Linked DNA regions of Macaca fascicularis. The protein of the gene in region 3 purifies or fractionates together with the protein of the main gene of each other region. This does not show direct contact. Links are inferred from orthologs where the notes say so. Each region holds a gene or a part of one and is shown on either strand. Other genes may lie near its edges. The genes, in order: IRF3, MAVS and TRIM21.

Region 1 (3,747 bases), on a different chromosome or scaffold from region 3:
CTGCAAGCAGGCTCTTTCCCCAACTCCCTCCCTCCCCCGCTGAGGACCTCTCTCCAAAACAGAGAATAGAGCCAGATATAAAGAGAGGAGACAGACTGAGACCAGGAGCAAGAGTTAGGAGGGAGCCTCAAATGCTGGCCCCTGGGGGAGAAGGGCAACTCCTCTTACCTGAGTGGAGTTGGAACAGGAGACCCGGCAGCCTCACCACGCCTAAGGAAGGCAGCTAGGACCCTCAGCGTGTCTTCCCGGAGCCCCAGCTCTTCAGAGCCTGCCATGGAGGCACCTGTGAGAGAGGGGACTAGGGACTGGACTCCAAGGGGTTAGCAAGAAGTGGAGGCTTGGTTGGGGACCAGGACTTGTGAGTCCCAAGGAAGGCCTGGACTCCTGGGTCATTTGGAAAGTGTCGGTCTAGGGGCCTAGACTCTTGAGTCCTCAGACGAAAGAGGGGTCAGGAAAGACTCTTTGATCCAAGGAAAGGTGGGGGGGCTGGGTGCCCAGATTCGTGGGTCTAAAGGAGGAGGGAGATGGGGTCTAGACTCCTGAGTCTTAGAGAGAAAGGAACTGGAGCCCCAGACCCTTAGGTCTCCCAGGAAGAAGGGGCTTAGCGCCCCAACTCCTGGATTCTATAAGAGGCATATGCCAAACTACTGAAACCCTTAAAGCATCGGGAACTACCAATCCCAGGAGGCTTCAGGGCAAATCTTCCCCTCGGTCCGCGCTTCTTCGCCGCGCAGCCTGCTGTGAGGTGTAGTTCCAAATCCCCGACTCCTGCTGGAATCTAGAGGACCCTGGACCCTTGGATGTCGGAGAAGCGGGACTGGGGTGCCCACTACTGGATCCTGGCCCGCTCCTCTTCCCTCCTTACCCCACCCCTCGTCAACACCCCGCTGACCTGGTCCGGGGCCTCACCGCCGCCTCCTCCACTCAACCTGCCGCCGCCTCCACTCAACTTGTACAAACTTTATTAGTTCAACTTTCCCGCGCCTGCGCACTGGGCCGGGTCGGTAACTGGCCCAACGAAGAAAGGGCGGAACGCTGGATGCACGCTCAATTTGCATGTGACGCTCCCAGCATGCCTCTGGCCGGAAACCCAAAAAAGGGCATAGGGGCGGGGACAGCCCCGGGCCCCGCGGGCCGTCCGTTCGGCTCCGGGGTGTGTTACCCAAAGAATGATAAAGTTGGTTTTATTTCAAGAAGTCGATCGAAAAGAAAGCCTCAGCGTCTAGAGTTCAGCTGACGGGAAAGGGGGTGCGCAGCCCCGACTTTGAGAGCTATCCGGAGCCCCAAAACAGGGGTGGGCGCCAGCTCCCTGCACGCCCTGAGCTTCTATCGTAGGTAACGCGGAAGAGCCTGGGAGAGCGTTAGTGGCGTCCGAGAGCGAGGAGCGGGAAACAGGATGGGTCTGCACGGAGAGTGGAAAGGCAGGCTGTGTACTCTGGGGAAAGTGGAGCAAGGAAGGAGCTACAGTGGCCGACGCTGGAGGTCGGCTGGAGAAAAACTAGAAAAAGTAGGGAGGAAAGAGGAAAACAGGAGGCGTCTACACTGAGGGGTTCTACAGAGGGAAGGATGGACTCCGTACATGGGTGTAGTTCACTCCCGAAACCTGAGGCGTGCTCTGTCCTGGAGGAGGGGGGCTGGCAGTCGAGGAGGAATTGGATGGAAGTTCTGTGTTGGAAATGTTTCGGGGGATCTTCTGTAGGGGGACTGGGGAAGGGGATCTACACTGGGGTAAATGCAGGAGATAGAGGCTTACACGTGAATCGATTCTGCACTGAAATAACTAGGGAAAGAGGATGCTACCCTGAAAGTGGGGATACTTGCTTTCGATGATGTCGGGGAGAGAGGAGGTCTATACTGGCGGAATTGAGAGAGTGGAGGGTCTGCACTGAAGACACTGGGGAAGGGTATGCCATGGATATGGGAAGGAACCCTAGCGGATTAAGGAGCCTCTCGGGAAGATGGGAGGATGGGAAGAGGAGGTTTCCTGTTTGTACCCCCGAAAATATGGGTGAAGGACCTGTGCCGTGGCCCGTGAGAGGGAGGGTTCTGGGTGCGGAAACTCCAGGCCAGGTGGGTCCGGGGGAGGCCGGTCGCGCCCAGAAAATGCCCTATACGCGCAGGCCGGACCATGGGAACCCCAAAGCCACGGATCCTGCCCTGGCTGGTGTCGCAGCTGGACCTGGGGCAACTGGAGGGCGTGGCCTGGGTGAACGAGAGCCGCACGCGCTTCCGCATCCCTTGGAAGCACGGCCTACGGCAGGATGCACAGGAGGAGGATTTCAGAATCTTCCAGGTGCGTGAGACGACCGGGGACGCTGGAAACCCTGAGCTGCGCGCGGGGCAGAAAGGACTCCTAGCGGGCCGGGCTGAGACGGCGGAGGTATCGCCCGAGGGGCTGGCTCGTGCCAACGTTGGTGGGTGGGGCTAGAACGGGAGGGGCGGGGCTAGCCGGATCAGCTGACTGATGGTGGGACGCAAGCAGGGTTGGAGCTGCCCGGTTACGGCAATAAAACCGGGAAAGCCGGTTAGTACGCAAAGGAAATGAATCCTGGGGTTTTGGGGCTCTCTAGGGGCCGGGGCTCTTGGTTGTAGGATAGATACTGGGGGATGGTTTTTGAAACATCAGAGGTGAGACCTGGAGCCCCAAATCTGGGGTTCCTAACCACTGAATTAGTATATGCCAGAGGTGGTAAACAGTGTGAGGGGCGGGGTTATCACAGAGGGTGTCGCGGGGCAGGTGGTGCACGGGGTTAGACACCAAGTTGGACTTGGAAGCCTGGCTTAGAAAGAAGAGTTTTTTGGGCCGGGCGCCGTGGTTCACACCTGTAATCCCAGCACTTTGGGAGGCCGAGGCGGGCTATCACCTGAGGTCAGGAGTTTGACACCAGCCTGGCCAACATGGTGAAAATACAAAATCATTGGTGAAAATACAAAATTATCTACTAAAAATACAAAACTTAGCCAGGTGCGGTGGTGCCCGCCTGTAATGCCAGCTACTCAGGAGGCTGAGACAGGAGAATTGCTTGAACCAGGGAGGCGGAAGTTGCAGTGAGCTGAGATTGCGCCATTGCATTCCAGCCTGGGTGACAAGAGTGAAACTCCATCTCAAAAAGAAAAAAAGGCTTTTAAAAACTCGAGGTGGGGGATGGAGGTAGATAGGACGGGGGGATTTGGGGATGGAACTTGCAGACTTAGAACTTGCCAGGGAAAGAGGGTGGTGTTAGGATCCAGGAGACAGGGTTAGGGCCCCAGGAGCAGGATCTAAGTCGTCCTCCCCCACTATCCTGACACCACTGTTGCCCCAGGCCTGGGCCGAGGCCACTGGTGCGTACGTTCCCGGGAGGGATAAGCCAGACCTGCCAACCTGGAAGAGGAATTTCCGTTCTGCCCTCAACCGCAAAGATGGGTTGTGTTTAGCAGAGGACCGGAGCAAGGACCCTCACGACCCACATAAGATCTACGAGTTTGTGAACTCAGGTCTGCCAGATCGGGGTTCATGTGGGAGGCTGGGGTCCCAAGGGTTCCTGGCACCCCTACTCCCCTCACCACCTTTCTCAACAGGAGTTGGGGACTTTTCCCAGCCAGACTCCTCTCCGGACACCAATGGCGGAGGCAGTACTTCTGATACCCAGGTGAGAATGTGCCCAACCTTCATGCCCCTCAGTCTCTGTCGTGTCCCCATGGGCCTTGTCCTCTCCCTGTGGACCATCCCCCCGCTTCCCTGCCTCCAGCCTGCCCCTTACCTGA
Region 2 (3,747 bases), on a different chromosome or scaffold from region 3:
GGCCGAGACGGGCGGATCACGAGGTCAGCAGATCAAGACTATCCTAGCTAACACGGTGAAACCCTGTCTCTACTAAAAATACAAAAAAAGTAGCCGGGCGTGGTGGTGGGCGCCTGTAGTCCCAGCTATTGAGGGGGGGGGGCTGAGGCAGGAGAACCCGGCAGGCGGAGCTTGCAGTGAGCTGAGATCGCGCCACTGCACTCCCGCCTGGGAGACAGAAAGAGACCCCGTCTCGGGGGTGGGGAGGGGGGAAGTATTAGATATGAAGCTGCTAGAGCCCGGTGGGGAGCAGGCAGGCTTGATTCTTGAACTAATCCACATTTATGCCCTCTTGGCTAAACTAGGCAGAGCTGGTTTTATTACAGTTCAGGTGTGATTAAGCATACTTTGTAAATGCTGAAGGTTGTGAAATATTCACAGGGATATAAAGTACAGTAATAAAATCTCACTTGAGGCCGGGCGTGGTGGCGACAGAGGGAGACTCTGTCTCAAAAAAAAAAAAAAAAAAAAAAAAAAAAAAATAGAAGGCCCTGTGCCTGGAAGGCAGTAAGTGCTCAATAAGTGTTGGCCTCTGCCCCAGAAGAGGAAGGGCGAGACAGATGGCAGGAACTGCGGGAGGTACCTGTCCCAGGCCCTTGGGCGTAAGAGGCCTCTCCCACGCAGGACCCAACCCATACCCAGCCTGCCAGCCAGCCAACCTCGGCGTCCCTGCCTTGCAACTACCTGCCCGGCAGTCCCCCGCCCGCTCCCACTCCCACAGGCCCAGCATGCGCGTCTCTAGGCTATGCATCCTTGCCCCTGTGACTTCAGCGTCACCCAACGTTTATTGGGCACTAACTGTATGCCTGGCCATGGGGATGCAGGAGAGAAAGACACGAAGACCCTCACCCATCAAAACTACCGGCGGAAGGAGGGGCTGTTTCACTTGGGAAGCGTGGGGATGGAATTCTCAGCCCCCTGAGGACTTCGAGGCCGGCCGCCTGCCTGGTTTCTGGCCGGACACTGGACTTCCCCTGGAAGTTGCTCGAGACTACGCGCCCTCAGCAGAAAATCAGGTCGGTTCTCGGTGCCCAGCCTAGCGCTTCTCGACCAGCAAACCAAGGCCCAGTGCCCGCCCCCGCCGCGCCGCGGCCTGCGCCGCCAGCCAACCACGCGCGGCCGAGTAGCCCTGCCCCTCCACGTGACCAATAGCCGCGCGCCCTGCCCGCCCCGCCCCCTCGCCGAGGGAGGGGTCTTGGGCCCCGGGCGGCGGTCGCCAGGTCTCAGGGTCGGGGCTACTCGAGGTAAGATCGCTGCCCGGGCGATGGGTCCTCTCGGCTCAGCACGCACGGACGCCTTTAGGGAAGGTGGCTGCAGCGGCAGTACCGAGTCCGCCGGGACGCCCTGGGTCTGGGGCCGCGGGGGCCCAGGAGGGGACAGGGCGCGCGGGGCTCCGGAAGAGTCGGCCCTGTGGCGCACGGGGTTCGGGAACATTGAGGGCTCCAGGCGCCGCATCCAGCATCCAGGGAAAAGGGGGTGGGTCGCGCTGGGCGTCTGCTCCGGCTAGGGGAAAAGTAGGGCTAGAAGGGGACGGGCAGCGGCCGCTGACCTCTTCCTGCCGCCCGCGGGCCCAGGGTGACGCTAAGTTGGGGCGGAGCCTCGACTAGTTGCGCCTTGAGGTCGAGTGCTGCTGCCCTCCCCTGGGTCCGGACAGTTCTTGGCGGCGACACCAGCTCAGAACAGCCTCCCCGCCCTCAGCGGACCTGGGTCTCGCCCAGGAATCCGATCCGAGGCTGTGAGGCCTGTGCCTTTGGTGGGGGTGGGTATTTATTTCCGGGATGCACTCAGAGCCTCTGGACAATCAGGTCGGAAACTTTGCTGCATCGGGAACACTCTGTCACCTCCTTCCTTCTCAGATGGGAAGGAGGTGCCAGGAAAACAATGAAACAAACCAAAAACACGAAAAAGGCATTCTCTGTATGGAAGCCGTGAAGCCTCAAAAATATCTAGGAGGACAGCCAGCGACCTGGGGCCTGTGGCAGCCATGTGAGGGCAGGGTTAATGTTTGTACTAAATGTTGCTTCCTCCCAAGTGCACCCTCAGCCTCCCCTCCACCAAGTGACCTTGGGTCCTCTTTGGGCTTGAAGGCAGGTGACTGTGTGGGTCTCTCTTGCTGCAGGGGTCTCTGTGCCCTGCAAGGTTTATGACTGGCTACAGTGAGGCAGCAGTTTCTGGGTTCAAATCCTGTGCTAGCCTTTGGCCAGCTGTGCACCTTGGCATCACTTTCCCTGTCACGGGATTGGGGAAGGTTTAACTGAAAGAACCTTAGGATGTGCCTGTCTGCAGTGCGCCCTCCATAAATGTGAACAAATGTGGGCTTCCTTTCCTTTTGGTTGGGCCACATCGTCCCTTCTCCTCCATCTGTGGCTTAGGCTGGAATGCAGAAGAGTGCTTCATCTGACTGCCTCCTGGTACCTGGCTGATGCCATGAGAAAGGAAGGAGAAAGGAGTCTTTTTTTTTTTTTTTTTTGAAATGGAGTCTCACTCTCTTGCCCAGGCTGGAGCGCAGCGGCCCAATCTGGGCTCACTGCAACCTCCGCCTCCTGGGTTTAGAGATTCTCATGCCTTAGCTTCCCAAGTAGCAGGGATTACAGGTGTCTGATACCATGCCTGGCTAATTTTTGCATTTTTAGTAGAGACTGGGTTTCACCATGTTGGCCAGGCTGGTCTCAAACTCCTGACCTCAAGTGATCTGCCCGCCTTGGCCTCCCAAAATGCTGGAATTGCAGGCATGAGCCACCATGCCTGGCCGAGAAAGGAGTCTGTTAACTCCCACAGAGTTGTTCTTTGCTTATTTCTTGAAGGCTCAGAGGACCCCCACCTCACCTTCCTGACTCTCCCGACCTGTCATTAGTACTTGCCCCAGGAGGAATGCAGCAGCGCCTGGTGGTTGGCAAAGCAAGTCGTGCATGTGAGGTTCTGAGGCCAGTGACAAGACTGTTTCCCCTGTGAGGAGGGTCTGGTGGCCCAGCAGCTTTTAGATGCTGTCTGCTTGCAGCACTGCCTCCTGAGAGAGGTTTCATGCCTGCCTGATGCCCATTTGGTCCTCTCCTGTCTCCTTCCCTCCCTGACAACCCACTTGGAATCCAATAGCATCTCAAGCTTCACTTGTTCAGACCTGAGTTCTGGAGTTCCTTCTGAGCCACTGCTCCTCCCCTGGCTTCTTTGGCTTGGTAAAAGGGCACCTTCCATCCATCCAGTGCCCAAGGAGTCATCCTTCTTTTCTCTCCCTTATCTCCTACACCCTCAAAACACCAGGAATCTGGCTGCCTCCTTCCATCTCTGTGGTTCCCATCCTGACCATAATCATCCTGTCTCCTGGGCTGTGGCCTCCTGACTGGTCTCCCAGTTTTCATCCTGGCCCCTCCAAAGTCCTCACAACCACCAGAGAAGTCTTTAACGCAAATCAGATCCTCTTCTTTCCCTGCCAGAACCTTCCAGTGGTTCCCTGTTTCACACCAACTAAAACCCAGAGTCCTTTCTTATAGCACTCTACATGAGTGGCCCCTGCCACCTCCTTGACCTTGACAATCTCTGCCCCTTTCCCTAGCTTGCTTGCTTGCTTTTTTTTTTTTGATGGAGTTTTGCTCTTGTCACCCAGGCTGGAGTGCAATGGGCACGATTTCGGCTCACTGCAACCTCTGCCTCCTGGGTTCAAGCAGTTCTCCTGCCTCAGCCTCCTGAGTAGCTGGGATTACAGGCACCCAC
Region 3 (3,747 bases):
GATGGATGGAATTGGGGATTATTATGTTAGGTAAAATAAACCAAGCACAGGCAAACAAACAAACAGTTATGTTCTCACTTGTTTGTGGAAGCTAAAAATTAAAACAATTGAATTCATTAAGATAGAGAGGATGATGGTTACCAAAGTCTGGGAAGGGTAGTGGGGCAAGGGTGCAGGGGATGATTAATGGGTTCAAAAATACATGACATAGAATGAATAAGATCTAGTGTTTTATAGCATAACAAGATGAATAGAGTCAATAATTTATCATTTTAAAATAACTAAAAGCATGTAATTGGATTGTATATAACACAAATGATAAATGCTTGAGGTGATGGACAGATACCCCACTTACCCTGATGTGATTATTACGGATTGTATGCTCTACCTGCATCAAAATATCTCATGTACCCCATAAATATATACACCTACTATAGACACACAAAATTGAAAATTAAAAAATTACTTTGGTAAATTTTATATTCTGTATGTTTTACGATTAAAAATAAAAATAATATAACCTGAGAATGTCCCTAGCTCAGTGACAAGAACACAGTTGATTGTCAAATGTCAATTCCCTTCTCACCACTCACTGGTGGGACACTTACCTTGGGGTCATGTGAAATAAATCACTCACCTGCAAGTGTTAAAAAAATATTAGTCACATCAGTCACATGAAAATAATTAGCTTCTGGAAGTAAGCAGATGGTGGCACGCGAGGAAGAGCACCGGCCACTCCTCTGCATCAGAAACTTCCTTAAAAGCAGCTTCCAGACATGCACATAGCATCTAGGTGTGGGGTGATGACCAGTGTCAAAGAAAGTAGCCCGGACTCCCCCGTCATGTAGATATTTTACCAAACCGGATAATGAAGACATGGGAGGGAGCGCGCACCCAGGACCACGGGCTACTGAGTTTCCACTCCTTACCAGTCTCAGAGAAGCCCCCTGGGCGTCCAGAGCCTCTGAAGCCTCCCCCAGTCCAACTCTGACTTCTCTCCTCTCACCTCTCTACCTTCTCTCCTCCCACCTCTCTTGCTTCTCATCAGCATTTCTCCACACAAGGCTTTCAAGGCTCTGCTCCTCCCACTGCTCCTCCCTCACTCCTCCCACTCTCCTCCTCCTCCCTCCCCTTTCCTCTCAGACTTGCCTCTGAGCGGAAACTGAAAGTGAAATAGGGAGCTGGCTACCAGCGTTGAGTCCCCTGTAAAGGTGAGTGAACCCCACTAGATCAAGGGACCCCTGCCCTCCTAGGGGACCTCTCTCCCCTGCCCCAGGGTTGCCCAGCCCCTTCAATCAGTCTCCATCCTTGAGCCGGTCCCATTTGCCCCTTCTCGCACCAGGGATCCCTCAACCCAAGACCAGCTGTGCTTCCGGCGCTGGCCCCCTACCTGGGAGGAGGCTGGGGTGTGGACATGACTGCCGAGTTACCCAGAAGGGGAAGGGACCCGGCTGCCCCCTTCCTGGGAGGAGGCTGGGTTGTGGACGTGACTGCCGAGTTACCCAGAAGGGGAAGGGGCCCGGCTGCCCCGATGCTGGCACGTGACCTGGGATGAAGGCTGGGTGCGGCTGGGAGAGCCAGGACTACAGCCTAGCCAGGACGGGTAGGGAGCTCATGTCGGGGAGGTCTGCAATTCTGGAGATTCCCAGGTCCAAAAGTCCTCCAGAGGTGAGAGGGGAAGGCTGTTTAGGATGTTCAACCAGAAATGTATTCAAAATTATTCTTTGCCCTAGAATAAGTGTTGTCAGGAACTAAACTAAGTTTGGAGCAGCTGAGAAAAGAGCCCAGGGAGTGCTGGCCACAGTTCCTGTTGCTCTGTGTGTATACATACATATACACATGCTTGTGTATATACGTATACACCTACATACCTATATACACCTGACATCTGCCGTTATAGGAAGTATTAATGAAGATATATTCAAAGCATGAAGTATGTCTGGCACATGGAAGGTACATGGTAAAAAGTAGCTATAATTTCTCAGCAGCATGGAGGCCTGTTGGTACCAGACAGGAGATGAATGAGCACTGAGGGTTTAAGCAGGAATGGACATGATGAGAGTAGAACTGTCAACAGCTTTATGAGGTTCTTGCCAATTTTCACTCCCTCTTTTAGGGACTTAGTGTCTCCTTCTGTCTCACTGGATCAATGGACCAACAATGGAGGAGTTCTTGTTATTCAGAACAAGAATAAACTTACTCAACAAACTATTTGATCGGTGTAAAAGTAATTACTGTTTTTGACATTAATTGTTTTGCCATTAATTTTATGCCTTTTATTTATTTATTTATTTATTTATTGAGAGGAAGTCTCACTCTGTTGCCCAGGCTGGAGTGCAATGGCAGAATCTCGGCTCACTGTAACCTCTGCCTCCCAGGTTTAAGCAATTCTGCTGCCTCAGCCTCCTGAGTAGCTGGGATTACAAGCGCCCACCACCACTCCCAGCTAATTTTTGTATCTTTCGTAGAGACGGAGTTTTACCATATTGGTCAGGCTGGTCTTGAACTGAACTCCTGACCTAAGGTGATCCACCCACCTCAGCCTCCCAAAGTGCTGGGGTTGCAGGTATGAGCCGCCGTGCCTGACTCATTATTTTTATTTTTCTTTTTTATTTTCCTTTGTGTCATTTTGTTTTTCTTCTTTTTTTAGTTTATTTTTAACTTTTGTGGGCACATAGTAGGTATATTTATGGGGTATATGGAATATTTTGATACAGGTATACTATGTGTCATAATCACATCCGGGTAAATAGGGCATCCATCACCTCAAGCATTGATCATCTGTGATACAAACTATGCAATTATACTCTTAGTTTTCAGTGTACAATTAAATTATTGACTATAGTCACTCTATCGTGCTATCAAATACTAGATCTAATTCACTCCACTTTTGTACTCATTAACCATCCCACCTTCCCCAACACACACACACCCTCCCTGCTACTCTTCCCAGCCTCTGGTAACCATCTTTCTATTTTATCTAACTCCATGAGTTCAATTGTTTTAATTTTTAGCTTCTACAAATGAGTGAGAACATACAATGTTTGTCTTTTGGTGCCTAGCTTATTTCACTTAACATAATGACCTCCAGTTCCATTCATGTTGTTGTGAATGACAGGATCTCATTATATTTTATGACTGAATAGTACTCCATTGTGCATATGTACCACATTTTCTTTATCCATTTATCTGTTGATGGACACTTAGATTGCTTCCAAATCTTGGCTATTGTGAAACATGCTGCCGTAAACGTGGGAATGTAGATATCTCTTTGATATACTGATTTCCTTTCTTTGGGGTATATACTAGCAGTGGGATTGCTGGATCATATGGTAGCCCTATTTTCAGTTTTTTGAAGAACCTCCAAACTGTTCCCTGTAGTGATTGTACTAATTTACCTTCCTACCAATAGCGCGTGAGTGTACCCTTTTCTCCACACCCTCCCCAGCATTTGTTATAGCCTGTCTTTTGGATAAAAGGCATTTTAACTGAGATGAGATTATATCTCATTGTAGTTTTGATTTGCATTTTTCCGATAATGATGTTGAACAACTGTTCATATGCCTGTTTGTCATTTGTGTGTCTTCTTTTGAGAAATGTCTATTCAGATCTTTTGTCCATTTTTGAATCAGATTATTATTTTTTTTCCTATAGAGTGGTTTGAGTTCCTTATATATTCTGGTTATTCACCTTTTGTCAGATGGATAGTTTGCAAATTTTTACTCCAATTCTGTGGGTTGTCTCTTC

The links.
Region 1: the proteins of TRIM21 (region 3) and IRF3 purify together in Homo sapiens (affinity purification with western blotting; 3 studies listed by BioGRID, with this or other methods). This does not show direct contact. The link is inferred for Macaca fascicularis from reciprocal best matches to the Homo sapiens genes TRIM21 and IRF3.
Region 2: the proteins of TRIM21 (region 3) and MAVS purify together in Homo sapiens (affinity purification with western blotting; 3 studies listed by BioGRID). This does not show direct contact. The link is inferred for Macaca fascicularis from reciprocal best matches to the Homo sapiens genes TRIM21 and MAVS.

What each region holds. Positions count from the first base shown.
Region 1 is NC_088393.1:57,636,862-57,640,608, reverse strand, and holds the start of IRF3 (interferon regulatory factor 3), read left to right. Parts: upstream 1-1,102; 5' UTR 1,103-1,331; exon of another isoform or gene 1,332-1,335; intron 1,336-1,784; 5' UTR 1,785-1,904; intron 1,905-2,120; 5' UTR 2,121-2,128; coding exon 2,129-2,380; exon of another isoform or gene 2,381-2,464; coding exon of another isoform or gene 2,465-2,524; intron 2,525-3,305; coding exon 3,306-3,477; intron 3,478-3,561; coding exon 3,562-3,632; intron 3,633-3,747. Other genes in the region: BCL2L12 (bcl-2-like protein 12), read right to left, coding at 169-275.
Region 2 is NC_088384.1:83,440,405-83,444,151, reverse strand, and holds the start of MAVS (mitochondrial antiviral-signaling protein), read left to right. Parts: upstream 1-1,223; 5' UTR 1,224-1,283; intron 1,284-3,747.
Region 3 is NC_088388.1:70,002,773-70,006,519, forward strand, and holds the start of TRIM21 (E3 ubiquitin-protein ligase TRIM21), read left to right. Parts: upstream 1-1,164; 5' UTR 1,165-1,211; intron 1,212-3,747. UniProt on the Homo sapiens protein: E3 ubiquitin-protein ligase whose activity is dependent on E2 enzymes, UBE2D1, UBE2D2, UBE2E1 and UBE2E2.